Linked DNA regions of Schizosaccharomyces pombe. Each later gene encodes a partner of the first gene's protein in a complex. Each region holds a gene or a part of one and is shown on either strand. Other genes may lie near its edges. The genes, in order: mhr1, mrpl12, mrpl40 and mrpl44.

Region 1 (8,320 bases):
TGAAATTGGGAACGTTTGAAGGTTGTTTCATTCCAACTACTTTAAACGTACTCTCCATCCTTCTTTATTTGAGATTTCCTTGGATTATTGGAGAAGCTGGTGTTCTTAAAACATTGCTGATGTTATTTATTAGTTATGCGGTAGGTATATTTACAAGTCTATCGATCTCTGCAATTTGCACGAACGGTATGGTACGTGGCGGAGGTGCATATTATGCGGTTTCTAGATCTATTGGCCCCGAATTAGGAGGCTCAATTGGTTTGATATTCTATGTTGGGCAGATACTGAATACTGGTATGAATATTTCTGGTTTTGTTGAGCCCATTATAAGCATTTTTGGAAAAGAATCAGGCACTATTTCACAATTTTTACCCGAAGGATATTGGTGGGTCTTTTTGTATACAACTTGTGTCCTCGCAATGTGTTGTATTTTATGTTGTTTAGGTTCTGCCATTTTTGCTAAGGCCTCAAACGCCCTTTTTGTGGTTATAATACTCTCAACAATATCGATACCAATCTCTTCGATATTTGTTCATCCTTTCAAAGATCCTTCCTTACTCGTTCATTTTACGGGATTAAAATGGTCTACGCTGATGAAAAATTTAGCATCTGCTTACACAGAAAATGAGAAAGGAACAGGTTATGAATCTTTTAAATCTACATTTGGCGTATTTTTTCCTGCAACGGCAGGTCTACTGGCTGGCGCAAGCATGTCTGGTGATCTTAAAGCACCTTCTCGTTCTATCCCTAAAGGTACTATATCTTCTCAAGCAACGACCTTTTTGCTTTATTTGCTAGTAATTTTATGTGTTGGTGCCTCTGTAACTCGTACGGGACTTTTACTTGATATGGACGTTATGGAACATATTAGTTTACATCCTTTATTCATCATTTCTGGAATTCTTTCTAGTGGCGCCTTTAGCTCGTTTATGGGTATATTTGGAGCTGCAAAGCTATTACAGGCAATCGCGCGAGATGATTTAATACCCGGAATGTTTTTCTTTGCAAAGGGTTCTAGCTACGATGATATTCCTTATGTTGCAATTGGAGTGACTTACTTAATTACGCAAATCAGTTTATTTTGGGACATCAATATGCTTTCTTCGATGATTACAATGACTTTTCTTCTGACTTTTGGCTTTATCAACTTATCGTGTTTTCTGTTACGAATTAGTAGTACCCCAAATTTTCGACCTACCTTTCGGTATTTCAATAGACGCACTACACTGGTGGGTACCATCTTGTCATTTGGCGTAATGTTTTACGTTGATCGCTTGAATGCCTTTATCTCATTTTTAATTGCAGGAATTTTGGTGGTAGTCATATATTTCACATGTCCTCCTAAAAATTGGGGTGATGTGTCTCAAGGCATCATTTATCATCAACTTCGAAAATACTTGCTGCAAACTAATAAAGCAAGAGAAAATATAAAGTTTTGGAGGCCTCAAATTTTACTTTTGATTAACAACCCGAATCGGTCAGAAAATGTTATCCGTTTCTGCAATTCATTAAAGAAAGGCATGTATACCGACATTTTTTGACAATACTAACCCATAAATTATAGGTTCCCTCTATATCTTAGGGCACGTTATTGTATCCGATGATTTTCAGGCTAGCATGGATGATTTAAGAAAGCAGCAACGTCTTTGGCATCAGTTTGTCCTTGATCGAGGTATCAAAGCATTTGTTGAACTAACTATTGCTCCAGACGAAGTTTGGGGTATCCGTGGTCTTATATCTTCTGCAGGCTTGGGGGGAATTCGTCCAAACATAGCTGTGCTAACATTTATTAATACGAATTATCGTAGACATCGTATATACTCGGGTTCTTCTTTCTCTCTTGAGAATACTAGTGAAGAATCAGAATCTGACAGTAAAAAAGAATTTGTGGAGCATGATATACTACCTGTGAAGTGGGTACAGATATTGGAAGACATGCTTGTTGGTTCGGTGGACGTTATGGTAACTAATGGGTTCGATAGACTTAATTGGCCAAAAAGAAAGGGAGAAAAGCAATATATAGATATGTTTCCCATTCATAGAATATCAGGTGTGGGGTCAGAAGTCAATGAAAGTACACCAACGTTTGCGACGAATTTCGAGACGTATACTATGGTTTTTCAACTTAGTTGGATCCTTCATACAGCTTCAGATTGGAAACAAGGTTGTAGGCTACGGCTTATCACTCTTGTTGAATTCGAGAATGAAATAGAGGCAGAACGAGAAAGCATGCATCAAATGCTAGAAACGTTCCGTATCAAAGCCGACGTTGTAGTGCTCTGTCTTGCTGCAATGAATTTGGATGCATATAGGTACATTGTCAAAAATGAGCATGTGAGACCTAGCAAGTCTTCCGAGCTTGAAAACTTACTGAAAGATGACTCGTGGTGGCAGGAAGAAAAGAAAAGAAGAGGAAATACTGTAGATTCCTTAGGACCTATTCGTTTTCCACGTCGTATGTCTGGTTATAACTTTAGATCTGCCAGCTTTGATAAGAGTGCTCCACCTTTAAGTGTGCCATTGAGTTTCCGCCTTGGGCCACATATGCATTCAGTAAAGTCGTTTGAGACTGAATCTTCTTTCGGAAACCGTTCTTTATCACCAAAACAAGAAAATAGAAGAACTTATTCTGACAGTACTATTGAGTCATCTCTGATGCCCAACGTGGTCCGAGAAGATAGTTCATCTGATAGACTAGCACCAAAGAAAAAAATAGGAAGGGACTATTCTAAAGAGAAGTTGACGTTTAACGATTTATCCTCGAGATCTCAATACATAATTATGAATGAAATCGTGCTGAAACATACTAAAAATACTTCTGTATTGTTTACTGTTTTACCAGCACCTTTGGCCGACACTCATAAGAGCTTTCGAAAAAGCGAGGAATATGTTGATGACTTATTAATATTTATGGAAGGATTACCTCCTTGTGCATTAATCCACTCTAAGAGTTTAACTATAACTACCGCTCTTTAACGATTTATGGTATTTATGTCTTTGGTTTATAAAGTCTTTTCTTTTGGCATTGTTATAACTATTTAAATATTTGGTCCATGATTTCTATTTTAGATGCTAATATTTTTTTTTTATTCTGGACCAAACTTTAAACAAAAAAAAAACGAGGCAATAAAGTGATGAGTTAATCTTGCATATATTTCATAGGAGCTCGAAAACTTCAAAATGGTAAAATAATAAAGATACGAGTATTTGGTGTCGATTTGTATTAAATTTATCTTGTCTTGAGTATCTAGCCAATACTCTCGCATTGAAGTACAATGATAAGCTAAGGAAGCTGTCCAGTGCAATACACTGGATACACTGGGAAGAATTCGTAACCGTCTTTAGTAAAAAGGACTTTATCATTAAGTAAAAAAGATTGAGCTAATATGAATATGTGTTAGCTTATACTTCATATAATGCCCTTTAAGAAAGCCTAAAAATGGATGAGGGGTGTTTTTGAAGGAAGAAAGTGAGAGAAGTAATGATATTATGCTTCATCTAGCTTCGTCTACGGTTGTTTTTTCACGGAAACCTCGCGAGAGTTTAATTTCCTCTGAATCAATCTGCACACTAGGGGGCCAATCTGCATATTCACTATCGGATTTATCACTCAGTTGCAAACGAACGGAATTTTCGGGAAATTTTTCTTTATTTAAAATATCTGCCAAGTCCGCAATCGTGTTAGGAACCTCTTGTCGCATTATTTTTCTTCTACGAACGGGTATAGGCAATTTCAAAAGGTCACTAGTCAGTGGTTGAACAGAACGATATTTTCGATAGTTTAACAGTTGCATAAAAACAGATTGAAACATTGATTCATTAGGAAATTCGACTTTTAGTAAAGGAACCCAATGGTCTTTACGGAGCTTAGCGGGTCGCATACCATTTGGAGCGACTGGCTTTTGAAGTGGGTAGGGAAGTTGAAACAACGCAGTCTTTTTTAAAACATTTCCTTGAGATAAAAGTACCTGATTCGTTTGAATATGCCTAAATATATAGAGATACTTGTTCTTTTCAAGCATTCTTTCCTTTTACGAGTACAGATTGGCTGTTTACATATATGCTTGTAAGAGATGCGAAGTTTGTTAATAGCGCGTCCGCGTATAAACGTTGTGCCCAATAAACACATATCGTTTGCTAGCACAGATGTTAGGCAGCATTGCGCGTTGAGCAGCCAAAAACAGTAAATGTTTTAATGATACGGTGAGTGACGGAAAATTTGAATACTGGTCAGCTACGCAGTTTAATATCTATTTAAAGTGTCGCTCACGTATTTCGGTATCTGCTTAACGATACTTAAAGTGCAATGAATCTCTCTGTGACCTAATATATTATGTTACACAGTTAATATAAGCAGCAATTTCAATGGGTGTTCTCTGAAATAAATTATATTGTTACCTATGGACATAGCAAAAAATATTACTTTTCGCTTGGGCTGAATGTTGGTAGATTTTGAATACGAAAGATTTCATATAATACAAATTGAATAATTTTTTAATTCTTTTTGTAAAGAAATTGCTACTGACCAGGAATTGGGAAATCGCATTATTTAAAATAGGTTTTCGCTCTACACCAAATTGATTTTTCATTTTTATTTGTTTTAGAAACAAGTTTGAACTTATATTTCCTGTATATACTGTATTTTAAAGCTCCGAACACTTGAAAATGATATATGGAATCCTCATTTTATGCATTAAACAGAAACTAAGGTTAAATCACTACTTTGCGTCTTTTGAGTAATGCCTTACTTGTTCAATTTTTTAATTCGCAAATCTTACAAAGTCATAATTAAGGATTGTATATCAATTTGGTAAAACAATAAAGAGGATGATTAATTTATAATTGACAACCAGATTCATTAGTTAAATGACTTTTCCTAGCACCACAGAAACACATCGTGTTTACTCTATAACAGAGACAAAAATGTATGTATGGAAAAAGAGTGATGACTGTCATCGGAAATGATTAAGTGACAATGCGTATAAGGTAATAATACAAGAAATAGAAATAAAGGGGAAAAAAGGAGCTTCTGCAGGAAAGTAAGAAAATTAGTAATGAAATAAAAAAGACACTCGCAGCTGGTTGGCAGCCCCTTGATTTTTTTTTCTAGCCATGACTTTTAGCTGCTGCCCGATTCTACATCTTTAGAAGTGTTGCAATCGGTTCCCTCAGCCATTGTGTTGTCACTTGCTGGCTCTGTGGTAATTGCTTGGCCTCGCATAGACGACATTTCAACGTCGCCAGTCTCTTCATCTTGTTCTATTACTTCGAGCCCGAGAATAAACAACAGTAAGGATAAAATAATATGAGCCAAACCTTGAATTGCTTTAGCTACATATTTAACTAGGCCTGCAATCGTTTTAGCTACATGTTTAGCTAGACCTTCATTCGCTTTAGCTACAGATGGTGCATAAACATAAGCTTCTTCAAACGCTAATTTAATTAACGAAAATGAAACTAGAAAATCGTTAGCCATGAATTCAAATCATCTCAAAAACTTACAATAAACAATAATCACTGTCATCACGTATGTAAATATTAACACTATAGTTTCAATAACATATTTAACCACAGAATTAAGATCCGCCAATGCCTGATCGAAATAATTATAAAAATTATGATAAAGCAATAAAGTAAGAATGAAAGGAAGGAAGATATGAAATATCGCATATCTAGCTTGTGTAAGTCGCACATTTTCCGAACGCTTTCTTAATCTAGCAGGTGCAGCCATTGTATTTTTTTTTCGTAACGATGGTTGTGTTAATGTTGAGTTTTGTTTGACAATTGGATTGTTTACATGATTATTGACTGAATATGAAGGACAAGAATGTAAACAACCCTTCTCCAAATCATTCCAAACTTCATTGTATTGAGGTAACTTTTCGTCTGGCATTTTGAAGAGCCTTTTACCAATAGTGATTATATACGTTTGAGTTCCAACTTGAACATTGCAAAATAAAATGCGAAATTAAAATATAAAATAGATAAATAGATCAAAACCAAACACTTGAATAGCCTAAAAATCCACGCGTTCTAAGCATCCAACAAAAAGAGATGGCTCTTGTTAAGGAATGAAATTGAATCATTGTGCTGTCAATATCAATTTACGCACAAGTTAGCATTAATTAGGCACTGCGTACCAATACGCTATAATAGCGATGCCTTGCTTCGTTTTATCATACTTTGAAAAGTATGCAACACTAGTTATTAGACAGTGGGCTACACTAAAGACCGCTATAATGTTTTTGCATCGCGAGTTACTATTATGTTACATGTTTTATTTACTCTACTAGTTTTGCATGAATAGTTTATCCAAGATATTAAATTACCAATTATAATAAGATATTTACCAGTAACAATAATACTGATTTTGAATACTATAACTTGAAAATTGAATTGAGGAGCGAGGTTCAGCCATGAGCTATATCAGCGTTAGGTTACAAACAATACCGACATCAATAACTCAGGTTACTATGTATTCATACATCTAGTAATACAACAGATCATCATTAGAGCTCACCGCAATCCTACTTATAATTGAAGCAGATATCAAACTGTACATTTAAACAATTGTATAATTCATTAAATCATACCTTATTGGCAATTTACAACGAGACTGTAGAACTCCACAACAGGTTTGGAGCGAGTTAGTTCTGTTGAACTGTATTTTATACTATTTCCTATTTGTTGGTCGAGCTCAATAGATTTTGGTAGGTTTACTATATCTTTTTAGGTATCAGTTGTAACTACCATTCAATACTTTGTAATTCAAAAATCATTATGTTTATTTTTATAGAAATTAATATGTGCCGCTGTTCAACATCACCATTTTCTTGTTTCAGATTTAAAGAATTAATTATCCTGTTCTCCACGGAAGCTCTGAGTTTTAAGTCTGCACGTACTCATTGCCGATATTTATTTCAACTCAATAGGTATCATTACGGTTTGGAGAACCTAAAAAATCTTAAATTATGAATTCCAACGTAAATATATGAGGAAAATAAAGATGTGCCATGCTTTACATATTTTGAGCGAATCGACCAGCTATAAACAGTACTCATCAACACATTAGTGGTGAGCATACCGTACATGGAAAAGCAAAACATCCTTTTTTAATAATACAATTTTTTCTTATTAACTAAAATCCTTACCCGATTAGGTGGGTGTTGTTCATCCATTATCTGTGCTACATTTAGAGAGAGACCTCTTTCCAAATCGATTACACTTTCATTTTCTATGTTTACACATCACTCATTTGTAAATAGACCTTCTAACTGGACAATAAAATTTTCTCAGTTTTTAAATTAAAGAAATGGAGAGTATTATACAATATTGCATGAATTGAAAACATTGAAGCGAAAGAGCGTGAACAAGGATTTCATCCTAACTCGTAAAGCAAATGTTCATTCTGCCTCGTTTGACATATCAGACGGAAGTCAAATCAAAGTGGATTTAAATTATAAAATAACTTGAAGTTTCATTTTATCATGTTTGCAGATTTTATTTACATTTCATCTCCACATTCCAATTGTATGCACATATGCAATACCCACTGTTACTGGTTCCTTTCTTAACGAAAATTATCGCCGCATACTAAAAAATATTTAATTTGTTTATTGTGACTGTAAATTAATTTGTGTTTTTAGATCTTTTATCGGGTTTCTTCAGGACGGGCTTGATGACACTTCGATTGTTTACAGAATATATCTATAGTTAAATTATTTAAACAACATTAGCAAGTCCAACCTATAATAAGGAAAATAAGCTCACTCTGGAAGTTCTACTGGTTTGGCCGATAATGTTTTTAGCAACATGTAACAGCGTTTACTATTGAATTTGTTTAAATTTCTTAAATACCATTTTGATCATAGCAATTCTGTTCGGTTGCTTATAATATTGCTCTAAATTATTTTTTATTTCACTTACTTCTTCTGCGTTTTATTTCTTGCTGACTGTAAATATGGTTAAATTGTTTTCAAAAACAAAGTATCAAATTTTTTTTTGTGCTTCTTCAGCGGACAAATGAATAGTAAAAACTGAAAGCGTGCTTTTTTGTTGGTAATAATGTTTGATTTACTCTTTTTTTTTTTTTTTTTTTTTTTTTTTTTTTGGCTCAGACCTTCTTGCTCATAATGATCTGGGCCATAGTACATCAATTTTCGAAGACAGTAATAAAGCAATTAAAAAAAAAAATTTTCGCCATTGATTCAAACTCACATCAGTTATCAATTAAAAAATTTCTTTACAGTTAATTTCTGCTATATTATTTTATTGAACCTTTTTAAATTCATTCAACCATTACGGAAGACACTAAATTTCC
Region 2 (8,881 bases), on another chromosome or scaffold:
CGAGTCAAAGAAATTGCATCCATTACATATCCCAATTTAGCCGAGATGTTGGGAGTTTTTTCTAAAAGGTCAATATCTTCAGGCACAACCAGAGGTTTAGGAAAATGCGGCCCTTTTTGCTCAAGCATAACCACTTGCATCCCTAATGCTTGAGGGATCACTAAAATGTCACTAAAAATAATTGCTGCGTCAAGCAGACCTTTAAAGCGGGTGACTGGCTGAAGTGTTAGCTCACACGCCGTTTCAGGTGTTTGACACATCTCAAAAAAGCTTTGTTTAGCACGAAGCTTATGATATTCTATGGTCTCGTTAGTGCAAACGATCAAGTTTAAGTCGTGCACGTACCAGGAAGATATCTTCCAGCTTGCCTCTAAAAGAACGTTAGCAAATTTATAATCATCTTTTTTTTTACATACCATAATCCAAACAGGAGGACGTTCTACTTCTTCTCCTATTATTTCATAATGTGAGTAAGCGCTTACAAATTGCTAAAGCGAAAGTATAATACCCTTTGCAGCCCTAAGAATCAAGTCATTTTTCATTTTTGGGTACATTATTAATGCTGAAATGACTATTTAGAAATAATGTAAAGATAGTAGGAATGTGGGAGACAAGAGAAAGGATTGCGCTAACCAGAGATCGTATCACCATGTAAGAAAATAGGGAACCACAAAAGATTTGGCAGAATTAGCAGTAAATTCTACATTTTCTCTAGTCAAATCTAGTTAATTTGTTTAGATATTTCATAGTCTCGTGTATTGAGCCGTTGTCTTGAAAACTAAAATCCCTTCAAAGTATACCTAAAACCGATAGTATTGTAGACTGGTATAAGGTTCAGAGGCCTGACTACCCGAGACCATATCATAATGCTTATAATGCATATTATTCATAACGACTACATGTGTGTACATATTTTCTTGACATGTTAACAGTCAAAACAAAGCAGTTTTTCAAGTAGTAATTATGTCCTTTTTCTTATAAACGAAAAACACGAATAGCTTCACTGAAATTGTATTAAAATATAATTTTAAAGGGAACTTTTACTGCTGAACAAATTCGTATTACACAATGACTGAATATGAACCGTGTTTACTAATACATGCGTGCTAAAAATCCTTCATTAGGCAACACGAACAGCAGGAAGGATTAAGGTATTAGAGTCCATTGGTAAGTTGATATGACAGTAATAGATCTATCCATGTGAATAAAATCTAAAACCAAACAGATTTACTGGAAAATTGGCTTTTTAAAAAAAAACAAAAAACAGACTTTATTAAATGCACTCTATACTAGCTTTCAAAATACTCTTATGTTTTAATTATCTAGGGTTTCCTTTCAGGATTGCTTTCAAACAACTGAGAAAACTCACCGAAGGCTTTCTTAAGTTCACCAAGGTGCTTTGTAAATTCAACCGCTGGGTCGACTACACCTTGAACAATTTTATCTCTGGGTAACGTGAGCGCTGGCATGGTAGGCGCGACTCGCATCTTAAGAAAACCGGCAACATGTTTTAGTTGCGAAGCACAATCTCCTCCTCCATGGCCACCATAGCTTACAATCAAAAGCGGTTTTCCATTCCACTCGTGATACAAGTGGTCTAAGGCATTTTTAAGGATTGCAGGATATCCACCATTGTATTGCGGAGTTACAAAAACAAAACCATCTGCTCCAGCAATTTTGGACCCCCAGGCCTTAGTATGTTCCTGAGTGTACACATCTATTCCCATAATTGGAAGTCCGGGTTCATCGCTCATAGATAGAGGCCAATCAGTTAAATCAACTTTTTCGTAGTCAAAATTAGTCTCTCTTTTTCCCATCTCACCAACCCACGTTGCAATAGTTGGACATAAGCGTTTGCTGCGAACGCTTCCCATAATAACCAGGATTTTGGGAGTAATCTTCAGTAATTTTTCAGGCAAGGTCATGATGTTAATAATGTAAATGAATATCTGAGTATTCTTTTACTGTGTGAAACAATGTAGTGCTTTTATAAACTAGCATGTTGTTATGTCCGAGCCTCGGACATGACTAATTGTTCAAGATAACTTAGTAATATTAAAAAAATTAGAAATTCTGTCATCAAATGGTAAAAAAGGCTTTATTTTGTTTTATAATTGGCTAACAAACTTTCAATTTCATCTAGTACATTCATCCTAAGTACTTATTACTTCGGCACCTGAATCAAGTAATTTATTGATATGGCGACCGAAATATATATACTAGTGCTGTATTTTTAAGGTGCTGGAGCAATCTTGGTCCATTACCATAAAGCAGCCGTTTAAAAAAATTAAAATAAACAAACTCGTTGATCAGATATCGTTCAAAAACTAAGAAACGAATTCAAATTCCCTGCCAAAGAAACGGTCAAAACCACATAAAAGTTGCGATTTCGTATTATATTATTGTTTAATAAAGATTAGCGTTACATTACAAAACTGCCAAATCTTCAATGTTATCTCGTGCTGGCAATTTTGTATAGCACCTTTTTGCGCCATAAGCCCTAAGAAATATTGCCGCATTTTGAATATCATAGATCTCCTTTACAGAAACCTATCTTAATCAATTTACTAAGTTAAATTTCGGCTAGATATGTTTACTTCAATTGCTCTAGATCCGCTGAAGTCATAAAGCTTTACTTTCTTCCATCTCCTTTTTAATTTTGCTCTTTTTTTTTAACAATGAAAATCCAAAACGTGTTAATGTATCTTGCTGCATAATTAGATGTTTAAAATAAGCTTCCCCTTCACAATTTAAAATCATCAATTTTTGTAAACAAGTCAATATGTACGACTGTATTACGAGCCTCTATACTTTCCACTAATACATTTTAACATGTCAAGTTCTCCAAGCTTCTGGTAACTCGTTTTCCACAGCCACAAAACGACGGTATTGTTTTTGTTACGCCATGCTCTTATTAGGTTTAACGCACATGGCCGACAACGCAACAACAATACCACATTACGTTGTAACTTGCTAACAAGTTTCCCGCGCGATTTTTGGGTAGAAAAAATCACTCGATGTCAACGCTGCCTTAGCAAAACAGGTTAATTTAACGGTTCGTTATGATTGGAAGAAGACCTCAAGGTCTACGCGCTGCTGCTTCTTTAAAGAAGCAGCAGCAGCTTGAAAAACAAAAGCAAGAAGCCTCTTATGAGCTGTCAGGAAACTCGTCTCCTAGTAAGGAAAACGGAAGCGAAAATGTCGACAATGGAGAAATGGAGGATGAGACAATGCTTGTTTACACAGAGGAAGACAATATTTCACAACTTTGGGGTTTATACGAGATGAGTCGCGAAAAGTTGGAAAATGACGATATAGATGCTAGTGTGAGCCTTGTCTTTGGTACCATTCACGAGGCTGATAGAATATTACGGAATACCGAGGACATTTCTACATTACCCAAGGACTTTCACGCGGCCTATTCCTCCGCTCTTTTGGCTGTGTCCGAGCTTTTCGAAATTGCACAAAAGCGTCTTAAGGAAACCAATACCGAAGAATCCTACATAGATGCTGCAATCGAGAGAGCTCAACTTGGCTTGGATGCTCCTGGCAACGAATCGAGACTTTTCCTTGCTCTTGCTCGTGCTTACCTTGAGAAGGTACGTGTTCTTGTTTGGCGTCACGATAACGAGGAATCTCTTGCCAACATCCCGGTCACTCAGTTGGTAAACCCATATATTGAGAAGGCCATCCAATACCTTCGTCCTCTTGCTCAGGATTCCACTGAATATTTTGATGCTCTTACCCCCGATTCTTTACGCCCATTATACATTCTCTCTTCCTACCTCTTTCAATTCGGTGATCAATTCTCTGAAGCTTTTCTCCTTGATGTCTGTTCAATTATAACTGCATTGTGGTTAAAATCTGTTGTCGATCCCAACACTCCTGCCTATTATAAGTTAATCGCTCAAGAGGCTGTTCTAAATAATTATACTACCTTCGCGGAATATTATATGGATTTGCTCGACAACAGTGAAAGTAATGTAGATGACCTAATCAACAAGGCTTCCAGCTGGCTCAACAATTCTGTCGATACCTGGAATGTTATTTATACTCTGGATAAATCTCCTGAACGCTTGTTAAAACTTGCGGATATAAAGATGGATCTGGCTCAAATTGTTCAAGACGAGGCTAGTCAGGATAATTACTTGAAGGAAGCTTGCAATGCTATCAAGGAGGCTCAAGGATCAGGTGTTGAGTTAAGTCCTGATTATGTTGAGTTTGTAGAAGCTTATTCTGCTTAGGATCGCTTTTACTTGCAACTTGACGGGTGTATTTCCATTATATCATTATCCCGTTGTTATATTTTTCTCCTTGAACAATACATCCTGCATTTTTTTTCTCTTTTCGAGAGTATTTTTCTCCATTATATTTACTTTTTAGGCAAACCTTATAAGTTTGTCGCTGGCCATTTTAGATTTCAAAGCAGTTCTTTATTGAAAGGAAATGTTGATTTTGTATGTACGACTTAGTAGAGCGTATAAAAAAATAAAAATTGTTTACTGATTCATGGGTTTCATTTTACCATATAAGTAAGGTCGGTTTTTGTGCTTTTATTAAAGTATAGTAGTTATTCTTTCCCGCTATTTATACTCAGAGATCCTAACAGTTTGGTGAATGGTTATAACTTTATCAGGGCTATATAAAAATATCTTTGAAAATTTACTATTTCGCTGTTGAAATTACTAAAAAAGTAGTATTTAATAAAATGAGATTTTAGTTTCTTTAAAGGTACAGTAATAGTGTTTGAAATAAAGTAACATGCTACTTAAAGCAACAGATTTTGCAACATGCTAACAGTTTGAAGACCTCTTAATATTACTTATGCACTGAGTATATTTTAATTTATTTGAATCTGGAAAGGTTCAACGTCCTTTCGCAAAATAGTATCCCAACGCTTTTTTTAGTCTCAAATTTCAGAGATTGCAGCTTCAAGAATAGATGAACACTTGGCAAAGGAAGTTTATTCTATATTTGAAATTTAAGACAACACACATTATTATTATTTAAAAAATTATTCTTGATGTTTTTGGAATTCAAAGTTCACGAAGTATAAGAAAAACCATCATAACAAAAATCGTTGTTGCACTCGCAATTACCAATATACTTGCAATAATAAAATGGATCCATTTGAGGGCCGCATGACATTTCTACAGCTTTTGGGAAAATTGAATGCATCGCAATTCTCTCAAATTAAACCCGCGCAATTTGCAATTAAGCATCTAGACTTGGAAGAAGACTTATATTCATGTATATGGGAGGAACTAGAGTCAGGTTCGTTCAATACAAGAGTGAATATCATGTACTTTGTGGACACACTCTGTGAGATGTGCTTAAAAAATGGCCTTACAGGTGGATATCTTAATATGATTAGTAGAGATATCTGTAAGCTAGTCCAGAACGTAGCTCCTATAGGAGCTGCTGGAGCTGCTAACGCTCCAGAGGTTAGAAAAGTACTCCAGTCTTTGCATGAAAAGAAGGTAATCGATGATAATCAATATAAAGATGCTATGGCTACGGTAGAAGCCCATGAACAAGCGAGCAAGTCAGGTGATACCAGTACTTCAGGAGCCATTTCAAAAAACGACATTCTTAAGAGGATTGAAGAAGACAGAGAGCGACACAAAAGAATGCGTGAAAACATTTGGGCTATTTCAGAACCAGAGTTAGAAGCGGAAATTGCATGGAACACTACCCAAGGAATTACTGAAAGCGATTTGGAATCCCTAAAGGATGAATACGAAAAGTTTAATGAATGTCTTCATGCAACTTCCTGAACCGAAGAGCGAAAACATAGAGTGTAACCCAAATAGAATAAAAACATATAATTAACTAATAATTTTGGAGTATTTTATACATTACCTAATATCTGGTTTTTTTAGAGATGATGAATTTTCCCTCCGTAGCTTAGTTTTTATGGGAATCCAAGAAAGTAAATCGTGTCACAATGTCAAAGCAATAACAAAAAGGTTGCCCAAAGAATTTGAATGGCGGAAAAGCATAGAAATGAAATTTTTTATAAACAACCCAGTTTATTCGAGGACTACTTTACAAGAAAGTTTCTCTAACTTCGATTTTATAGCTTCAGCATCCTCTTTCAAAATATTTTCTTTCAAAACCTTTGGAGCACTTTCAACGAATTTCTTTGCGTCCACAAGAGATAATCCCAAAAGAGACTTCACCTCTTTGATCACCTTGGCTTTCGAACCAGCATCAAACGATTCGAGTTTCAAATTCCAGGTGGTTTTTTCCTCTTTCTTTTCCTCAGGAGCTTTCTCTTCAGAAGGAGCGGCTGAAGCTACTGCTGGAGCCACTGCTGCCATCGGAGCTATTTCAGCAATGTTTAACTTCTCCTTTAATTGCTTTACAAGTTCAGACGTCTCTAACAATGATAGAGAGCTTATTTTGTCAACCATTTCCCCAATTTGGGCATTATTGTTTTGTACAGATGCGGCAGCTCGAAATGATCGCGTGTTTACCAACGATCTTGCCCAGTTCTTACTGGAAGATAAAGCACGTCTTTTAAAGTTAGTATAAATTTGTTAATTAAAAATAATTACAATCTTACAGATTTCTTGTTTGGCGTGATGCGATGCGAAACATGCTGTATTTTAAAATTATACTTGAGGTGAAGTAAGGTGCAAGTGAGATGGGGGTTGGCAAGTTAAGTATAGTAACTACAACTTTTAGGTGATCATTCATCAAATATCTAAAATATGTTCAATGGATCTTATTAATTTTTCATTAGTAATAATTAGAAAATAAACTAACCTCGTAGTAAAAAATGCTCTAGAATTATTAAGTGTTCAACAGTTAGTTGAAGAGAACAAATAAATCTAACCCTTTATTTTTATGCTTTTATCTCCCTGTTAATTATCAGGCATATAACAAATAAAACAAAAATGCATAATGTATTGAAATATTGCAATAAATCCACAAATTGATGGTGGTATTACATATTAGAAAAAAAATTAACAATGAGATAATTACTTTATGCTGCTCCGGCATGCTTTGTCAGTAGACTTCATCCCACGACCATAGTACCAACCGCCTTCAATCAAATTCCTTTCATCACGTTCCCATTTAGACATTTTGGTATTCATGTCTTTAGGATCTAAATCTAGTAATGTTATGTGATCTTTACCAATGTATAAAGTCACATCTCGAAGGGTCATCGCTAACGCAACATCAGTACGAGAGTATTGCTCTTGTAGGTCACGAAGCTTCCGTAGTATACCAGACTGAAACAATCTCATTGCGATATCAGGACTCACAAATCCTTGAAGACAGCACAAAAACTTGGGCCAATTGTTGAAATCAAGCTGTAGAGGACAAAAACCAACGGGTCTACCACGCATACGGCTAAGGGCACACGTTCGACAAACAACCCAGTCAGGTGGAGCGGCAGGGGACTGAGTCAACCATTTTGGTTTCATTTCAATTCCATCTTTGAGATCTTTCATTACCAAACAGTATTGCTCATTTAAATTTAAATAAATACCAGAAGCATTTTGGGCCGCCAGCAAAAAATCCCTAGTAACTGGCTGCAAAAAAACCTCAATTAAAAAGCTTTCCATTCCAGCAAACAAAGGATAAATTACATTTTGATAGTATTCATAAACTTGTTCTGTAGTAAAAACCTGTCCTCGACGTCGAAGACGAATTACCTTGTCTTGAAAGTAAGGATTTTTACCAACATACTCAAACACCACATTCGCACTTCCTGAGGCAAGGTATGCCCATTCAGAAATCACCAGGGATTTACCGGTGGAGGAATGATTGGAGATAACGGATGTTGGTGAATAAGGTGCAGGGGATTTAAAAAGCGGATTCGATATAATTGGAACTTGAAAATTACTACTAGCAACCGATTCATCTTGGGACTCTACACCAGAAGAAAGGGCTTTCATGGATGGAGGACGCGACATAATTGGAGTTGAAGGAGTATGTGTGTCAACGGGAGAATTTGTAACAGAAGAGCTAGCGGTACTAGCCATAGGCGAAAGGCTTACCTGAGACGCTGAAGTATGCAAATTCTGAGCGATGAGAGAATTCATGGCATCAATTTTTCCAGCTTCCCACTCTCTATTTGATAAAACATCACCAGATTTTGGAAGTTCTACGGGAGGACGGTTGTTGTTTACGGCAATTAAGGAAATGCTTTCAGCAGCCTGGCAAACTGAGGAAAACTCAACGAGCCACGTTTGGGGAATATCGTCTTGAAAACAATCCCAAGGGCGAACAATGTTGTGCATTTTTCGAAACATTTGAAGTTGCAAGCAGTAAAAATGCTTCATAAGTTGTCCAAAAAAAACACGACTTTTTGCAATAAGAGTTGGGAAGGACAAAGTTAAATGCTTCTGAAGGTCATCCAATTCACCATTGACACGGACAAGCTGGCTTTGTAATGCTTTAATTTTACTTTTTTTGGTTTCAGGATCAGGCAATTCGTAAACAACCAATAATTCTTTTTGAATTTTTTCAAGTTCTTTTACTTTTTTATCTCTTCTTTTAATCATTTCAACTGCCTTCTTTACATAGCCTTTGACCTCCTTGCAAGGAGCAATAACTATGACATGGAAATTTTGCAGGGCAAGCAAGACTTCACGACGTTGACGTTCCAAGGCCTTGTTCCAATCGACCAATGTTCCGACAGAAGCAGCAGGTTGTTTTTCAGGAGGTAACTGTCTGTACAAAGAAATCCAAGAGGCAGTGACGGAGGGAGCTATACAAACCATGCATCTCCAAGCATCATAGAAGAGTCGAGAGTTATCGATTGTAGAACGAATCGCTTTATCTAATTTGTGGATCTGATCACTCCACTGCTCAATTTGTTGATCAGAAGCAGCAATATCTAATTGTTTAGGTTCTTTTTTAGACG
Region 3 (8,318 bases), on another chromosome or scaffold:
AGTGGTATTGGTGCCGCTCTTTGCGCCCTCCAAGCTGTTAAGGAAAAGAAAGGCTTGGCCTAAATCATGTTAGATGTCTGTTAGCTTTTTTTGAATTGTACGTAGAAATGAGCATGTAAATATGAAATTGCTTTTTAACAGCTTTTAGTTAAGATGTTTTTTTTGAAAGTGAATTTATTTCCTGGAATTAGTTAATAGTATGAAGATTGAATATCAGATGAATTAAAAAGCATGTTGTGATTGATGTTATATGTCTCTTTAAAACAAAATTGTGGTTGTGTATTGTTATTAAATTTGTTACGATTTTGTTAACATTCCAAAAAAGAGTACGGAATTTACAAACATTACAGGACATCTCAAAGATGTGTGTGTAAATTGATTCTAACAAAAAGAAATTTGATTTTTTTTAATCTGAGTTTGTAAAAAATAAGATTCATCATACCCTATTATCTCAAATTTATGAATTATTCGGGTTCAAGATAAAATCTTCTTTTTCTTTCAAGAAATCCAATTAACCAAGATTTGTTAAAAAATATTTTTCTCATCGTTTAGTAAATTTTTCTGCAACGTTGAACGGTGAAGTTGTGCTAGCAATACTGCATACTATATAAATAAGAACCGGAAAGCGTTTTCCAACACCCAAAAGGTGTTTTTTATACTTTATTCAAGAGTTAAAAATTAAATAGCACGGTAGTAAAACCAAATTGAACAAATTAAAAATTGAAAGCGTCTCAAGTTTAAAATTTATTTAAAGAGCTTATATCAAAAAAGTAGAAAACTTTCCAAAAGGATTTCTCAAAAGAAAATCCTCCTCATTTTAATAAATCATTGTTTAGATAGATTTGGTTAAATTTTAACCAAAAGGATTATCTATTTGCTAATTTTTTAGATAACTGGAAATTGCCTAATTACACAATCTTTTTTACCTTTTTTTGATGATTGTATGTTTAAAGGGGATGTAGTTCAACTAAAAAATTGCTTATTAAACATGCAAGAGTAAATGATTATTGAATATGTATAGTTGCAACAAGAAGCAAGGTTGCGAGAAATGACAAATGGGTTGACTCAACTTTTTTCTCATTTAAATTTTTGTTTCAGTCATTTTAATAAGGTCCTTGTGAATCGATATCAAAAGAGGAGGTGGAATAATTATAAAGATAACGTTTCTGAATATCATGGTTTTCGAAAAAGAAAGTCTTTGAGGTCATGAAGTTTAGGCTGCTTTCGGTTTTTTTACTCCATACTTGCTTCGGGATGTGACACGTCCCGCTACACCAGCAATGTCATAGACACCCCGAACAACATGATATTGGACTCCTGGACAATCCTGTGCTCTGCCGCCTCTTAACAATACCACAGCATGCTCCTGTGCATTATGACCGATACCTGGAATGTAAGCAGTAACAGAACGGCCGGTTGAAAGGCGTACACGGGCAACCTTTCTTACTGCCGAATTAGGTTTTTTGGGTTTTACTGTAAAGACCCTCGTGCACACACCCCGTCGAAACGGACTTCCCTCTAAAGCAACAGATTGCTTATTTGTTTTTTCAGGACGTTTCTCTTTATTTCTTATCGTTTGATTTAATGTCTTTAACATAACTGAAGAGCTAGAAAACGCTTGAGCCTGAAATGGTGAAATAACTGTTGGCTTCATCAACCTTGAAATTACCGGATATCGAGCATATTGAGCAAAACGGATCATTATTTGGGGAAATTTAATATTTGAGCTGTATAAAATCTCAAAAATCACTATAATAGATGCTTGAGCAAGGAATTCCGAAGTTTGTACCCGAACGTCGCTGGTTTGGTGTTAGTGTATGTATATTGCCTTGGAATAGAATATCTCGCAGCATTCATATTATTCGATGGGATACAAAAATTTATTCTTTTATATTTTGACAAACATTTTTGGGTATAACTAGCGTATTAAATATTTTTTCCTCTAGGAATTGAACTTTAATGGACTAGTCTAAAACAGATGCAGAATGTAGGTATGCTAATCGACAAATTTACAGTACAGTGTTAAGCTGAAAAAATCAACTTAATTCATGACTTCTACTGAAAAACGTACTGGAAGTAGATTGTATTGAGGTTTAAGCTTCGTTTTGCCATGCCATTTTCAGTTGATGATAGTATTTATTACAATAACTTATCCATTCATTAAAACTTTAAACACTGATATGGATTTATCAATGTGTTTGACTACTTACATGAAACTTAGCAGAAAAATTGAGCATCAGGCCTACTCCATATAAAGCTTTGACTTAAAACTTAATATTTTCTACTTGTTAAATGTCTTCGTTTGGTTACATATCTCCATAAATGCATATGCTTTGTTTGGCTTAGCTACTGAAAATTCAGAAACAATTAAATGAACTCCGAATTATAATCTATATTTTTTTTATCAGTGTGTGAAATTGAAGGGGATTTGATGAAACACTTCTTTTTTTGAAATATCGTACTGGTGGCTTTTCCTAGTGTATCACGACTTACTCTCTTAATTAGCTTCATACCACTGAACACGTTTACTACTACCGCATTTTTCTCTACTCAGGTTTTTTAGCTTTTAAAGGAAGGTTTTATGTTAATACTTTTGAAAATTAAATTTTTTTCTATCAACGTGAAAAAATTCAAGGAGTACTTTAGTTTGTGTTGAAAAGTTTTTTGGCAGATGCGTTCTACGTTACAATTAATGGCTAAGGCCTCAAAGGGAAAGCACCAATCTGGTCCTTCTAATCATAGTGAGTCAATCGATTTGGTTAGAAAAGCTCTTTACGGAAATAAAAAAGTCAGGTCTTTGAAAATGAATCCAGACATGTGGGAAAAACACGAAGTTATTAATCGCGCTTGGCGTATACACGAATATCGACAAGAAAAACAAAGAGAGAATCTTCTAAAAAACCAATTCTCTGCAATGAAAATTGCTTGCGAGGAACTGAAGCATACGAGTGAAACATTATATAAAGCCGCAATGAGCGATTCAATTAACAGGAGGTTCCCCGTAGAAACGAGGACTCCTACGGACACACCACCACGGCTTTCTAAATAGGCGAGCGCCTTTTATGAGTATAATTAATATCTTCGGTAGTGCTCGAAAGTGTTATAGACAAGTTCAAGTATATAAAAAAATGTATCACTAATTACGAGCAAGTATAATCTAATTAGGATTTTTAAATAAACCAATAATTGAATTAAAGAATTATGTCTCCTAGTTTCTAGTCTACATGTATCATATTATTCATTCCCAATTTCACCGTAAACGAATGATACAAAATGAAAGGCCATGCTTTCTTTTTTAACCAAAAATTTAGAATTGTTACCAAACCCAAACCCTACCTCGAAAACAATAAAATATGACCCAAACACTGTTTTCTTTTTACAACGTGTCGCAGATGAGACAAAATGTCTTTAAAGCCAGAATTTACGTCTATCTGATTCTTCACCGGCATTGCTCTCGAAGAAAACCTCCCCTTCTTTCCTATCCCATACTCCTTTTTGAACCATACGAAGACGCATGGTAAATCGAGGACCTAATTCTTGTAGCCCAGTTCCAATACCATCTGGCATATTCGATTTTTCACGAAATGCATAACGGTGTCTTCGAAAAAAAAGAAAATCTCTTTGACAATGGATGGTAACAACTTGTCGCCCTTGAATTTGAGGCGTTTGAATAAATAATGATTGAAAGGCTCGAGCAACAGTCATACCAAGTCTCGTTGAGAAATTGTTGATTATCAGTTCTGGAATATGACCAGTGGAGCGGCCATGATTTGAAATTTCCTTTGCTGTTTGGAGATTCGATAAGGTAAAATAGAACGAAGGGCCATTCGGTAAGTGTACAAGGGTTAATGCATTTGTTTTTTTACGATCCTCATTTAATACCAGTAAATCGGTGTAACCACGCTTAGCAGCGGCTTCTGCGATTTCATGAACTTCAATATCTCCGGTTCTTTTTCGAAATTCAGCATTAGGAAAACAATCTAAAAGCTCAGATGCAAAATCATAGCATTTTCTAGAGGCTCGTTTACTCGTGGTTACCAAAAGTTTCGGAACTTTCCTTTCTTCACTAAAGTATGCAGAAAACTCATCATCTTTTAACTCCGCCTGAAGTTCCTCATCGGGTTTATCCTCTATGATAGTTTCATCATAAACTCGTTTCGATTCAATAGTAGCGGGAATATTTTCTGAAAGTCGCAATCTCTTCTTTTCCGGGTCTTTTTCTTCTTCTTTAGCACGTTCTTTTCTTCTTTCAAGCTTGTCCTTATTTTTTTGATGAAGAGCCTTCATATACTGCTGTTGGCGGACAATTTTGTTTTTAATCTTCCCCATTTTAATAAGTTGCGTATAATCTCTCAAAATTTAAAATTTAAGAATGAAATAATTTAAATCCTTACAAAAAATTGCAACTAAAAAAAATTGAGATAAGAATGAGCAACTTAAGTACAAATAAAAGAGAGTTAAAAAAAAGTATACGATGGGTTTGAAGTCTCAAAAACTTATTGCACAATCCAATTCCATGTCGCAAAATACCGAATCTGAAGAACATGCTACGAATTTCGTCAAATTTGCTTAAAAGTATTAACGCAGTATTATATCACACTGCTGTTAAGCAAAATGTATACTTTAGTTACAATTACTGTTTGTAAATAGGTGATATTACAATCCGAAATCGTACACTATAGATATCCTCATCATTAAATTGTTGAACAACTGAAAGCATTGTGGTAAGGGTTCAACATTCTACAAATCACTCACGCTACTTTCATTTTCACATTTGAATGCGTGCTTTGAATGGAACTAGCAGAAATGAAAGGGACGATAGTCTTTTAATTTCATTTCTTTACTTTCTTTTTACTTTCTTCTGAACTGAATTGCTATATTGATAAATTAAATAATGTTCTGGATAACCAGAACGAATCAGAACGTGTCTTTTAATAGCAAAATTTTTCAAAACCAAAAGCCAATGAACAATGTAAGCAAAAAGGAGGAGGAAAACAGATTAGGGAATTCATATAGAGCGTATTTTCAGAAAGGTTATTTGTATACCTTTTTAAGTCCTAGCCTCGCTCATGTCGAGTACTTGAACCATACCTCGGTTTTTGGTCTCATTTCGGACAAGTTCATCTATCAACTTATAATTCCCTGGAATCACGAGAGCTATGCACTCATATTCATCATCAATGTTTTCTTCTTCAATTTCATCAGCTAAAGAGCGTAAACGCTCTCGTAAAGCTTTTCCCTGTTTGACATCCACCACTATTCTGATGCGCATACGCGCACGGACGATAGGAATTTCGTTTTTTTCTTGCAATTTCTTAATAGCTTCCAGAGCTTGGGACTTTGCAGTTTTACTGGTAGAGACAGAAAAGCCACAATCAGATAATGCTTTTTCAATTATAGATGCTGGATAAGGTCGTTTAGAATTAGGATCCATGCACATCGCAGTAACATGGGAGACAATATCGCGATAAGTTGAAGACATTTGATGATGTCTTTCCTTTTCACCTACTTGAAAATCTCCTTTTTGCAAAATTTCTAAAATAATTTTATCTATATCATCTGTACCAAAAGCCTTTTTCAAATCCTGTCGGCTAGCTACATGTCCTTTAGAAACATTGTTAAACACATTGTGGATTTGTAAAACTTCATCCAGATCTGTTTCACTAAACTTGGTTAGCTATGGTTTTGATCAAAAAAAATTGTACGAGTTATTGAGTTGTTGACACCAGTCGACAAGACACGTGAATTCAAAAAGATAGCTTGTTATAATTTTCTGCTGATCTTAAAGAATATTTATCTGTAGCAAAGGCTGACTCTCACTAATTACAGTAGCTTAATTTAATGAAATCATGCATACATTTTGTTTCTCCATTCTGTAACTTTATTTTTATAACAAGCAACTTCAAATCTTTTCCCTCCTTTCTTATATTTTACAACGGACACATTGGTTAGACGAATTTGTCCAACAGGTTGACTAATAACCATTTTGCTCAAGATGGGTACTTTTTTGGATTATTTTTTGTTATTCTCACCTTCTCTAATTATAGTGTTTTAATCCAACGCCTAAATCTGTTAAACAGGTTAACAATCCATACACTATATATCGGTATTTAGATTTATCTGAAAATTAAACAAAAATTTGATATTTGCGAGCCTGAAAGGCAAAAGGATGGTTCCAATCATTTTTCGGATGTTAACATAATCTTGGAAAACCTTATGGTTAAATATTTAATATAAGTGCAAGTTATTTGTCGGGTTTTCTAAACCAGTTTACAAATCACGAATGATATTAGGCTTTTAAAAATTATTACCTAAATTCAGCAAATACTAAAAAAAAAGTAGAAAACAATAGAAGTATCGACTAAGTTTGAGTTATCCGACAAAACTTCAATCTTACATCCTAGTATATTAACACAACCACTTGCGAAGCGTTTCTATACGATTTCGCTTAACATTTTCAATTTTAAACTTATAAACAAATAGATAGAATGACATTGTCTTAACGAGTACACATCATTTTAATGTTGGTTAACGATGTCGAAGCTGTAGAATATTGCGTGCAAAAGCAAAAGCAAATTTTAAATAATGAAACTTAACCACGTATCGCAAAGTTGCCTTTGTGTAACAATGATCCATTTCTTTACTTATTGACGAAGAGAGTACTCAAATAACAACTGCAAACTACCAGCAGGATACACATTACTGTTTCATAGCATTCTTATTTTTTCTCTTATATTTGGCCATATTTATCCTGTCTAGAGGTTTTACTTTCGTTCCAACATTACAGCGTAGTAAATTCCTCTGTACAAGTGATGTACCACCGTTAGTTATTTAAATATTATAAAACTTTTTGAGCAGAATGAGAGACTTGCGTAAATTAATTCCAAGGCTCCGAGGCCCTGGTACTAACGTCTTAAAAATGAAAAAGCCTTTACCGTTGCATATGCGAACCAAAATACGCGAACACCTCAATAAATCTGATCCAACTGTTAAAGACGATAAATCCGCTAAACCCGAGTTACCGTTTGGAAAGCCAGCTGACAGAGTCCCTTTCTGGCATATTTTTAAAGGGGATTATGTATATGTTCATCAAGGACCTCTGAAAGGAAAATGGGGCCGTGTTGTTGAGACAAACAAATACACAAACGGTATTACCATAGAGGGGGTTAATGTGAGATCCGTCAAAGTACCAATTTTTCTTTTGCGAAATAAGCCTGAAGATAACCAAGATCCAGTAATTGATATTGCTCACGAAGTACATTATGCAAATGTGCGTCTTCTTGCGCATGCAAAGACTGACGCCGGGGAACCAGTTCTTATTCCAGTTAAGCTTAAAAAGCATTCCTCAACTAATCTCCGGTCCATTATTCGGCCTAATATTGAAGGAGTACAAATTCATACTATTCATCTTCCTCGTCCCAAGACTGAAGATAAGCCTAAAGATCCCGAAGGTAAACTCGATACTAAGAATCCAGTAGTTAGTAAAGTTACTTGGTCTCCTAGCTTATCGGAGCCTCCTCTTCCTCCGTTTGCAATTGGCGATTTACGAGCCAATTGGTCTCGCCGTTTAGATCGTATATGGGGATATAAAAAGAACAATGATGATTTTACTGAAATTGCTAAAGATCTTGTCCGAGCAGAGACTGCTGCTGAAGATTTAATAAAAAAACCCATCTCTCCTAATACTTACAGTGATTAAAACAAAAACGATGTTTGGTCGTTGCAAGCATTTTTTTATAACATTACATAATGATTCACAATCTCTAGGTTATAAAGCTTAATAAACTTTTGTAAACTCTTCTAAAAAATTTTTCAAGAAACTTAAATATATTTAACTTAGTAGAGTAAGTGATAAGTGATTTCAATGAAAGTGAAGTATTTGAAGTTTACACGTTAACCTAGAAAAACTTTTACTAATCAATGTAGAAAATCTATACAAATCAAGATCTTTAAAGTCCATTAATCTCTTGTGCGAAAATTAACGCTTTGCCAGTTCATCCAATCTGGCTTGTAAATTGTCTTCAGTCTTTAACTCCGGTACCGTACCAATTTGGGTCGCAGCATCTGGCAATCCTTGAGACAAATCGACTCCAATTTCATCCAACACTTTATTGACAAGTTCATCAGCTTCCTCTTCGTCATCTTCTTCTAAAGCATCGTCCATATTTTCATCAATCATTTCTTGTCTCTGTTCCATAATTTCATTTTCACGCTCGAATTGCTGAGTGATACGAGCCATTGCCGGTATATTCATGCTTTTGTTCATCCCTGTCAATAACTTTGTAAAAGTTAGTTCTATATTTTTCGATATTAAGGTG
Region 4 (7,462 bases), 2.3 Mb from region 1:
ACTAGTGAAGAAATAAATTTGGGAAGAGATGGTTTAATGAAGGAATCATACCGTTGCATATTTAGCTGTTTCACAACATCAACAAAAGAGAAAAACAAGTGTAATGGACCTTGTTGTAAAAAAGAAATAATGCGTACCGTGTGAGGCATTAAATCAGAAATTTGGGGATATACAAAAAGAAGAGCAGATATTTCAAATATCAGAACTGAAAGATCTGACTCTATATTTTCCCAGCTGACTAAGTTGGGTATCTGCAAATAGGCTTTAAAGAAAGACGGATAATCAGATACGCGAGAGCCCTTTCTGGTAACCAACGTAGCTTTAAATAAATTTATATATAGTAATGGCTCACCGGTTATTTTAGAAATTATTAACTTTTCTAATTCGTTAAAGGAATCTGAAGTACAATGATGAATTGTAGAAATTAAGACAGGAATTATCACACTTTTAGACCTTGGCAAGGTGTAAATCTCAGATCGTAATAGGATTTCAAAAAAAGCTTTTCCTTTAAAGTGAATACTCGTATCAACGCCCTGTATTATCCTTGAAAAGAGAATGACGACTCCCTCGTGATATTGAGGAGTATAGTGATCGTTTAGATCGAGCAACACATGTCCAGTAAACTCAATTGCATTCTCGTAAGAAACTGTTTTACACAAAAAAGATAAAGCCTCAGCGGTAAAACGAGTAACATGACTCTTCTGCTTTTCCTTACCTAATAGAGGGGATAGAATATCATAAGTATGAATTAAACGGGGTGCAAGAATTTTTCGAAGATATTTAAAAAGATAAGCAGCAGCATGAAAAGACCAGTCAACAACTTCCAACTCGTTATTCTGAACGAGAATGCAGAGTAGTTCTAAGGTTTGATCAATATAACTTGCAAACTCCAGTGCCAGATCACGAGCAAACTGTGTCAATAATTCTAAGATTGGCTGTAAAGACAGTGAATCTCCTTCACGAGCATACTGTACAATAAGATCAAAAATTGTTTTTTGATGATATACTATTTGAGGTAAAGACTGTGAGTATGGAGTGACACTACGAAGAAAGTTTACATAGTGGGTTGAAAGATTCAAGTCCTCCCATTTCCTGAGACATGAAATAAAGTAAGACTCAACCTAAACGATTGTTAGCATACATATAGATGGAGTCAAAGCACTTCAGACTTTAAATCTGTTTTTGCTAATTAATTGTGAACATACGTCTTCATCCTCTAAATCAGCAGCTCTAGGGATTTTATGAGCTACATCAATCTTTAAATTTTCAACTCTCTTGGAAAAAGGCAAAAACTGATTTTAAGTGTTAGCAATTGTACACATTCAATAAAAGTTTTTAGTCAGACAACTGTACATACAACATAGTTTTTGGAATTGCTCTGCGCCGCAGCTTTCATTTCCAAGGAGAATTGTGCGCGTATCACTAGATAATGACAAGTTGGCGCTTTCTACAAAGTTTTGCCTGTAACCTATTCAACAAATGAATATAAATACTGTAATGTACCAAAAGGCAGTATATTTGGTTATCGAAGTATATTTTAGCAGCTGTAAACATTTAACATGTTTTGTTAGAATTCTTTAAACTCAAGCATAAATTGCTAATTTTCTTTTTCTTAAGGTAACAACTACTTTGAATCAATACAGCTTGCTCAAAAAACAGTTTGAAATGGCATTTTCTCTCTGCTGGCTAAAATCATCAGTTATGTTGCTCTTCCATAAATTTCATTTGGTGTTTGACGTTCATATAAAATATCCAGGGAGTTAGGATTTAGGCATTACTTTACATGCTATCCGAATCATGAATTTGTTATACTATCCCAAACAATTGCATTGGTTTATGGCTGCTTGCCTATTGTTGAAATTAGATCAATTGTAAAAATATGAATATTGAGATTCTACATAAAGAGAAATCTTTGGTCCTCGATATACGGCTGCTTGTACGTCGATACAAAAGGACTACTAGAGATGTTTGGTTTTGTCTGTAAAAAGCTCATACCTTTAACAAGAAATTCGGCCCTCTTTAAATCTTTGTTACATTGTTTTTATTTCCTTCTCTTAGATGAAATTTCATGGTTTACTTAAAACACAGCTATGTAATCTAGTAAGTATTCGCACCACTTCGAATACGATAGCTAATATTGAAGATGTTTACAATTTAAGGGAGGAACGTGGTTTAATCGTATGCGTGTTTTACCACCATTCTGGGGCATTTTCTCCGTTGAAGTATTGGTCTTGGCCATATAGTAATGGCGACTCAACAATAGAATGACGAAGATGTTTAGGATCATCCGGGTCATAATCTAACTGTGATTCGCAGGTAGTGCTTGCTCCATTCCATGCCATCATGTCTGCAGTTGTCTGTCCTGGTACAGCTTTTATAGCGAGTCCACGAGATGTCATTTCATTTTGAAATCTCTGGTACCAACCTGGAAGCGAAGGAAGAATCCCATTAAAAACAATTAACTTCGACATAATCCTTCTAATGTCAATTGGAAGAATACGGTACAGAGATAGTAAAACGTTAGGAAGGGCTTGGTCTGCTATGTCCGACCCTCCAGCATCAGAACCCTCAAAGAGAGCCTCAATGCCTGCATTGGCGATCCAAGATGGAACTCTAATTTTTTCAGCGTCATTAAAGCTTGAGCCCCGTTCAGTTTTATTTGTTTGACAAGTTGTTTCAGCTAAGGGTAAGATATCCGAATACCGAAAGTAAGCTTCTTGATCTGTTAATTGATAGAGCTCTTCAGTCGGTTTGCTTGGTACTCTTGATTTTAAAAGAGACTTCATTAATGCTTCCGTTACGGCAAACTCCTCATCTTCCAATAGCTTTTGAGAATTTTTCTTGTTGTTCAGTTTAAAACAGTCAGCCATACGTTCCAAAACCGTACTTAAGCTTCTTTTTGAAGTTTTTGTATAATGCATTAAGATACAAAGGTCTAAAATTACGATGAACTTTGTTTCTTTCATCCCGATATCCACAATTATTGCATCTCTTGTTGATGTGCTTAGGATCGCTGTTAATGGTGCACATATCCACAACGTGATTGGAACGTTTAAAGTGTTGAATAATCCATCACAAAGCTCTTTTTTCTGTTTCCTTGTAACAAAAATGTCCAATACTAATACAACGCGTACTATTTCAGCTAGACAGTTAAATGTGTTCAAGCAGTATCTTTGAATTATAGTTGTCACAATGGATATAGGGACCCAGCTTTGTTTATAAGGAACAAGATCTACTTTCCAAGTTGGCTCTTTATCGCTAGCATTTCCGATGTAAATTCCAAATTCGTCAATTTGCACCACTACGGTGCTAATATCGCAATTTTTTCGCATCAAAATAATTACTCGGAATTCAATTTAGTAGCAGTGATGTTAAAAAAACTCTTGTCGCTATTTGTTTGGTTTGGCAAAAGAAATGTAAGGGTTTGATATTTATTCAATAATTGTACTTTGACAATTTTTAAACAAATTGTTTTACTGAATAAAAAGTGGATGGCTTTTTATTTACAAAGAATACATGTATTACGGAAATGCACTCAAAACATTCGTGTGTTTACAAAACAAGTACGGCTAATCAAACGCATTCCGTACACTTAAATTAACTCAAACTTTATATGTATAAACAAAATAATATGAATTAAATACACATTTACTTATAATGCAACTTACAAAGAATATGATAAGAGAAATACGAATAATTGCTATGTTACGTTAAACATAATTGCTTACAAAAAAAGCTACAATTGCAAATCCACTACAATCAGGCACAAATTACCGCTTGAAAAAAAAACAAAAATAATCATCATCATGCTATTCCAGTTCAAAAGGGGAAAATATATTCATTTACTCCTCAATCTTTTCGGCAGCAGTGTAAAGTTGCTCACGCTTTTCTTCAACAGCCTTGGCTCTGCGTTGACGAGCAGCCTTGGCACGAGCACGACGAGCATCTTGTTGCTCTTGGATCAACTTAGTACGGTTGGCCTCAGCCTTGGCACGTTGAATATGCTCAATTAAAGCACGCTTGTGTTTAAAGGTGTTACCCTTAGCTTCCAAATAAAGAGTGTGATAAAGATGCTTATCAATCTTGCCAGACTCACGATACTTGCGAAGAAGACGACGCAAAACACGTTGACGGCGCATCCAAACAACAGCAGAGGGCATACGAGCTTCGGCAGTACCCTTACGCTTACCGTAACCGGTGTGACGACCAAGACGCTTGGCGGCATGGGTCTTACGAATGCGGAAGCGAGAATGCATCAAGTTAGGCTTGCGAATAACCAAACCGTCCTTAATCAACTTACGGACGTTTTGACGGCTGTTGGCATTGCTGATTTCGCTGATTTCATTAGGATCCATCCAAACTTTGCGTTTGCCGCATTTAAGGACGGATGCAGCAAGTCGCTTCTGCGTTCTAAGATTGGCCATTTTTCTTGCTGTTTTTGGTGGACGGACAATCTTTCTTAAACAGGCGTGGTCAATTCTTTTGTTTTTGGGGCAGTCACGTTTAGGGTAGGGTTGGGTGATAATTCAGTACTCTGCTATGAGGAACAATGACAACGAATAAAGAATAAAAAAAGTATTTAGAAAATTTATTAACATTACCAAATGCTTTGACTGAAGTAAATATGATTATTAAAATTATCCCTTACATTCGTTGAATCAGTTACCGAATATGCACATTGTGTTTCATTATTTTAGAGGATGCAAACTGAAAGGTATAGCAGATACTCGTAATACAGTATATTGAGGCTCATTAACCTTGAAAAGGCACTTAATAATCCAATCTAAGTAATAATAATAATATAAATAAAATTATAAAACTATGGTTAAACTCATCATTTAGAATTCAATCATGTACGATAAAGTGAAACCTTTCTCTAAATATTAAAGAGAAACTTTAATATTCTGCCGTCGGAAAGGGTTATCAAAATAGTATCTTCATACAGTCCTATATCTTGAACCTTACATTCTTTTTCGTAATCAGATACGGGCTTATTGTGGATGTTTGTGCAAGTTAGCATTAGCGGAGATACGATTGATTGATAATTTGTATCATGAAGATCCCAAACACAAATATCGGCACAGTTTTTGGATACAGAAACAATTCTTCCACAAGAAAATAGTTTAGATATCTGAACACCACAAACGTGTCCTAAGAGACGACCTAAAAATTTTATCCGTAATTCGTTGTTAGTTGAATAAAGCCTCTGCAAAATTAAAGAATTGTCCGGATGAGATGTCAAAATATAGGACCCATACATAAAAATAGCAGAAGCAGGTTGCTGAGAGTACTCAATGTCTTTGTTGTCATGCAATGCAAGCCTACTACTTTTGACGCAATATTCGTTGAAAACAAATTCTTGCAAACTAACGGTCCATCCACCAGATAGAACATAATCATTAAAAACTACATGAACAACTTCATATCCTTCTTTTGATTGCTGAAAGTGAATAGCAACCTGTTTTTCAATACTTGAAACATGATATTTACCAAGTACTTTCAATTTGGTTCCAGCTTGATGAGAATGCTGAAGTATATATAAATTGTTGTCGTTTGTCAATCCACAAATGTAATTTTTATGCGATGATAATGCCACAAATTTGGTAGAGAATGTTGCAAGGTTTTCAATATTTCCGAAACCTGTCTCATGCACCGTTACATGTAGCAGGTTACCATCCTTTAAACCAATATAAAGGCTGGCGTTATCCAGACACATTACAGCCGGACCAGATTTGACAGTTTCATCTCTAAAAGAAGAAATAGCCTGGCATTTCAAACTGTTACCAACTGAGCTCCATTTTGATATTTGAACGTCATTACAAAAATAAATATTATTTTGGTGTGTAAGCGTTAGCCCCAAACGATCTTCTCCAACGCTTTTTTCAGAATTAAGCAATTGAGGGAGCATAGACTCTACTTTTTTACAACGTCCGTCCTTCCAGTTAGATTGCCTTCGAAACAATCCTTTCCAATTCCTTCGTTTTTTTTCAATGCGACCATGTCGTCGTAAATGCTTAGTCCCAAATTCTGAGAGATATAAATTATGCCATACCTGTATGAAGGTCGTTAGTACATGGAAATCAGTCTCTCAAAACATGAAAATTCGACTATATCACTAAAAAGTCAAGAAGAACATACCGATGAACGGCGCACAATTGAATTCCAACTACGAGATACACGTTCTAAAGCAGCTAAGTCATGTGCAGACAAATCATTAAGAACGTGAAGGAGGGTTTCATGGCTGAAAATCGACGCAGGGTTTTTAGCCTTCACATCGGTAGTCATGTTGGATAAAATCAAAATTGCAATTGTTCATGAAAAAATATTTCACAAGCGGAAACCGAGGTTCTATATAAAATTGGAATGACAAATTGTATTATAGAGACATACTAGTTTCGTTTGTATCTCCAAGTTGACTTAGTTGTTGTAGGAAGTGAGACTATCAGGGTAACGGTCACCTAGCTTACCAAATGTCATTTCGTTTACAAAACTTACCACCATTTAATGTATTTAAAATATCTACACATAAAGATCTCTTTTAATTACATTCCTTGACGACTTTACTCTCCAGTTAAAATTTTTAATCATGATATTTGGGTACATTAATAAATTGTCAATTTTGAATGTGAACCCGTTTTCCAAAGCTAGTCAATCTGCGAAACTTTTGCTAGCAGTTGCCAGTAAAGAAACCAGCAACTCTCTTTATGGACTTAATCTCATTACCAGTCTTGCATCAAAGGATACCAATTCAAAACCATCTGTTGAAGTTGTATACAGTAAGGCTTTTAAGTAGCTAGATGGTTTAACTGCGACCGTTAGATTTGACTTTTGCTAATAATTATTATTTAGAGGATGGAAAAAAGTTGACTGTTGATCCGACAAAAATGAATATTGGTAGGCTAACTGAATTAATTGACGATTACAGTAAAACGCTTAAATTTAAGGAAATGATGCAAAAATAAGTTTAGAAAAAATGACTTTATTAATATGATTAAATTGATAACAGATAATTAAATTACATAACGACTAAATGACTTTTGTACATCGAAATCCATAACACACTATTAGTATTGTCATCGTTCGTTTGGAAAATCCCCTATTCCCCTTCTTTTATTTTCCAAGGTGTCGGTCGCATGGGTATAATAAAGTCGAACAGCTTCTTTGCCGATATTTTTTATGCTGTAATAATTCCCTAAAGCAATGTTAGTCAAAACACATTCTCGGTGTATAATTCCTGTTTGAATTTTTAGAAATGTGTATATTTAAACTTACCCCTTGGAACAATAAATACTCCATCTTTTTTCATTCGAAAAGTGGTTGCATTTACTGTGACCTCGATCTTTCCCTGTAGTATACAAAAAGACATTATGTTGTGTTTCGAAGGCTTCACTGGTTTTTCTGCTCCTGCTGGCATTTCAACGACGCCAGCAGCAAAAGATGGCTCCTCCTTGAACAAGCTGGC

The links.
Region 2: mhr1 (region 1) and mrpl12 share a complex: the UniProt entries of both Schizosaccharomyces pombe proteins name them as parts of the mitochondrial large ribosomal subunit.
Region 3: mhr1 (region 1) and mrpl40 share a complex: the UniProt entries of both Schizosaccharomyces pombe proteins name them as parts of the mitochondrial large ribosomal subunit.
Region 4: mhr1 (region 1) and mrpl44 share a complex: the UniProt entries of both Schizosaccharomyces pombe proteins name them as parts of the mitochondrial large ribosomal subunit.

The regions. Positions count from the first base shown.
Region 1 is NC_003423.3:1,797,237-1,805,556, forward strand, and holds mhr1 (mitochondrial 54S ribosomal protein mL67 ), read right to left. Parts: upstream 4,055-8,320; 5' UTR 4,023-4,054; coding exon 3,495-4,022; 3' UTR 2,977-3,494; downstream 1-2,976. Other genes in the region: vacuolar membrane cation-chloride cotransporter Vhc1, read left to right, coding at 1-1,518, 1,565-2,976; SPOM_SPBC18H10.18C (uncharacterized protein), read right to left, coding at 5,120-5,457, 5,503-5,893. UniProt on the Schizosaccharomyces pombe protein: Component of the mitochondrial ribosome (mitoribosome), a dedicated translation machinery responsible for the synthesis of mitochondrial genome-encoded proteins, including at least some of the essential transmembrane subunits of the mitochondrial respiratory chain.
Region 2 is NC_003421.2:1,158,232-1,167,112, reverse strand, and holds mrpl12 (mitochondrial 54S ribosomal protein bL12m), read right to left. Parts: upstream 6,658-8,881; 5' UTR 6,604-6,657; coding exon 6,569-6,603; intron 6,520-6,568; coding exon 6,033-6,519; 3' UTR 5,778-6,032; coding exon of another isoform or gene 5,121-5,777; 3' UTR 4,797-5,120; downstream 1-4,796. Other genes in the region: putative uroporphyrinogen decarboxylase Hem12, read right to left, coding at 1-298, 346-370, 417-451, 509-554; SPOM_SPCC4B3.06C (NADPH-dependent FMN reductase), read right to left, coding at 1,323-1,925; protein Nro1, read left to right, coding at 3,063-4,244; Lsk1 complex gamma subunit lsg1, read left to right, coding at 5,121-5,777; ipk1 (inositol 1,3,4,5,6-pentakisphosphate (IP5) kinase), read right to left, coding at 6,987-8,881. UniProt on the Schizosaccharomyces pombe protein: Component of the mitochondrial ribosome (mitoribosome), a dedicated translation machinery responsible for the synthesis of mitochondrial genome-encoded proteins, including at least some of the essential transmembrane subunits of the mitochondrial respiratory chain.
Region 3 is NC_003424.3:2,667,121-2,675,438, forward strand, and holds mrpl40 (mitochondrial 54S ribosomal protein uL24m), read left to right. Parts: upstream 1-6,672; 5' UTR 6,673-6,859; coding exon 6,860-7,699; 3' UTR 7,700-7,818; downstream 7,819-8,318. Other genes in the region: hxk2 (hexokinase 2), read left to right, coding at 1-63; mrps12 (mitochondrial 37S ribosomal protein uS12m), read right to left, coding at 1,214-1,702; mrpl28 (mitochondrial 54S ribosomal protein mL40), read left to right, coding at 2,693-3,049; Brix domain-containing protein Rpf1, read right to left, coding at 3,409-4,329; SBDS family ribosome maturation protein Sdo1, read right to left, coding at 5,051-5,663, 5,858-5,985; ESCRT III complex subunit Did4, read right to left, coding at 7,979-8,278. UniProt on the Schizosaccharomyces pombe protein: Component of the mitochondrial ribosome (mitoribosome), a dedicated translation machinery responsible for the synthesis of mitochondrial genome-encoded proteins, including at least some of the essential transmembrane subunits of the mitochondrial respiratory chain.
Region 4 is NC_003423.3:4,119,297-4,126,758, forward strand, and holds mrpl44 (mitochondrial 54S ribosomal protein mL53), read left to right. Parts: upstream 1-6,586; coding exon 6,587-6,776; intron 6,777-6,849; coding exon 6,850-6,962; downstream 6,963-7,462. Other genes in the region: U3 snoRNP protein Utp20, read right to left, coding at 1-1,121, 1,206-1,292, 1,358-1,396; actin-like protein Arp10, read right to left, coding at 2,190-3,332; rpl1901 (60S ribosomal protein L19), read right to left, coding at 3,843-4,424; F-box protein Pof12, read right to left, coding at 4,877-6,052, 6,139-6,285; cnp3 (centromere protein), read right to left, coding at 7,074-7,192, 7,273-7,462. UniProt on the Schizosaccharomyces pombe protein: Component of the mitochondrial ribosome (mitoribosome), a dedicated translation machinery responsible for the synthesis of mitochondrial genome-encoded proteins, including at least some of the essential transmembrane subunits of the mitochondrial respiratory chain.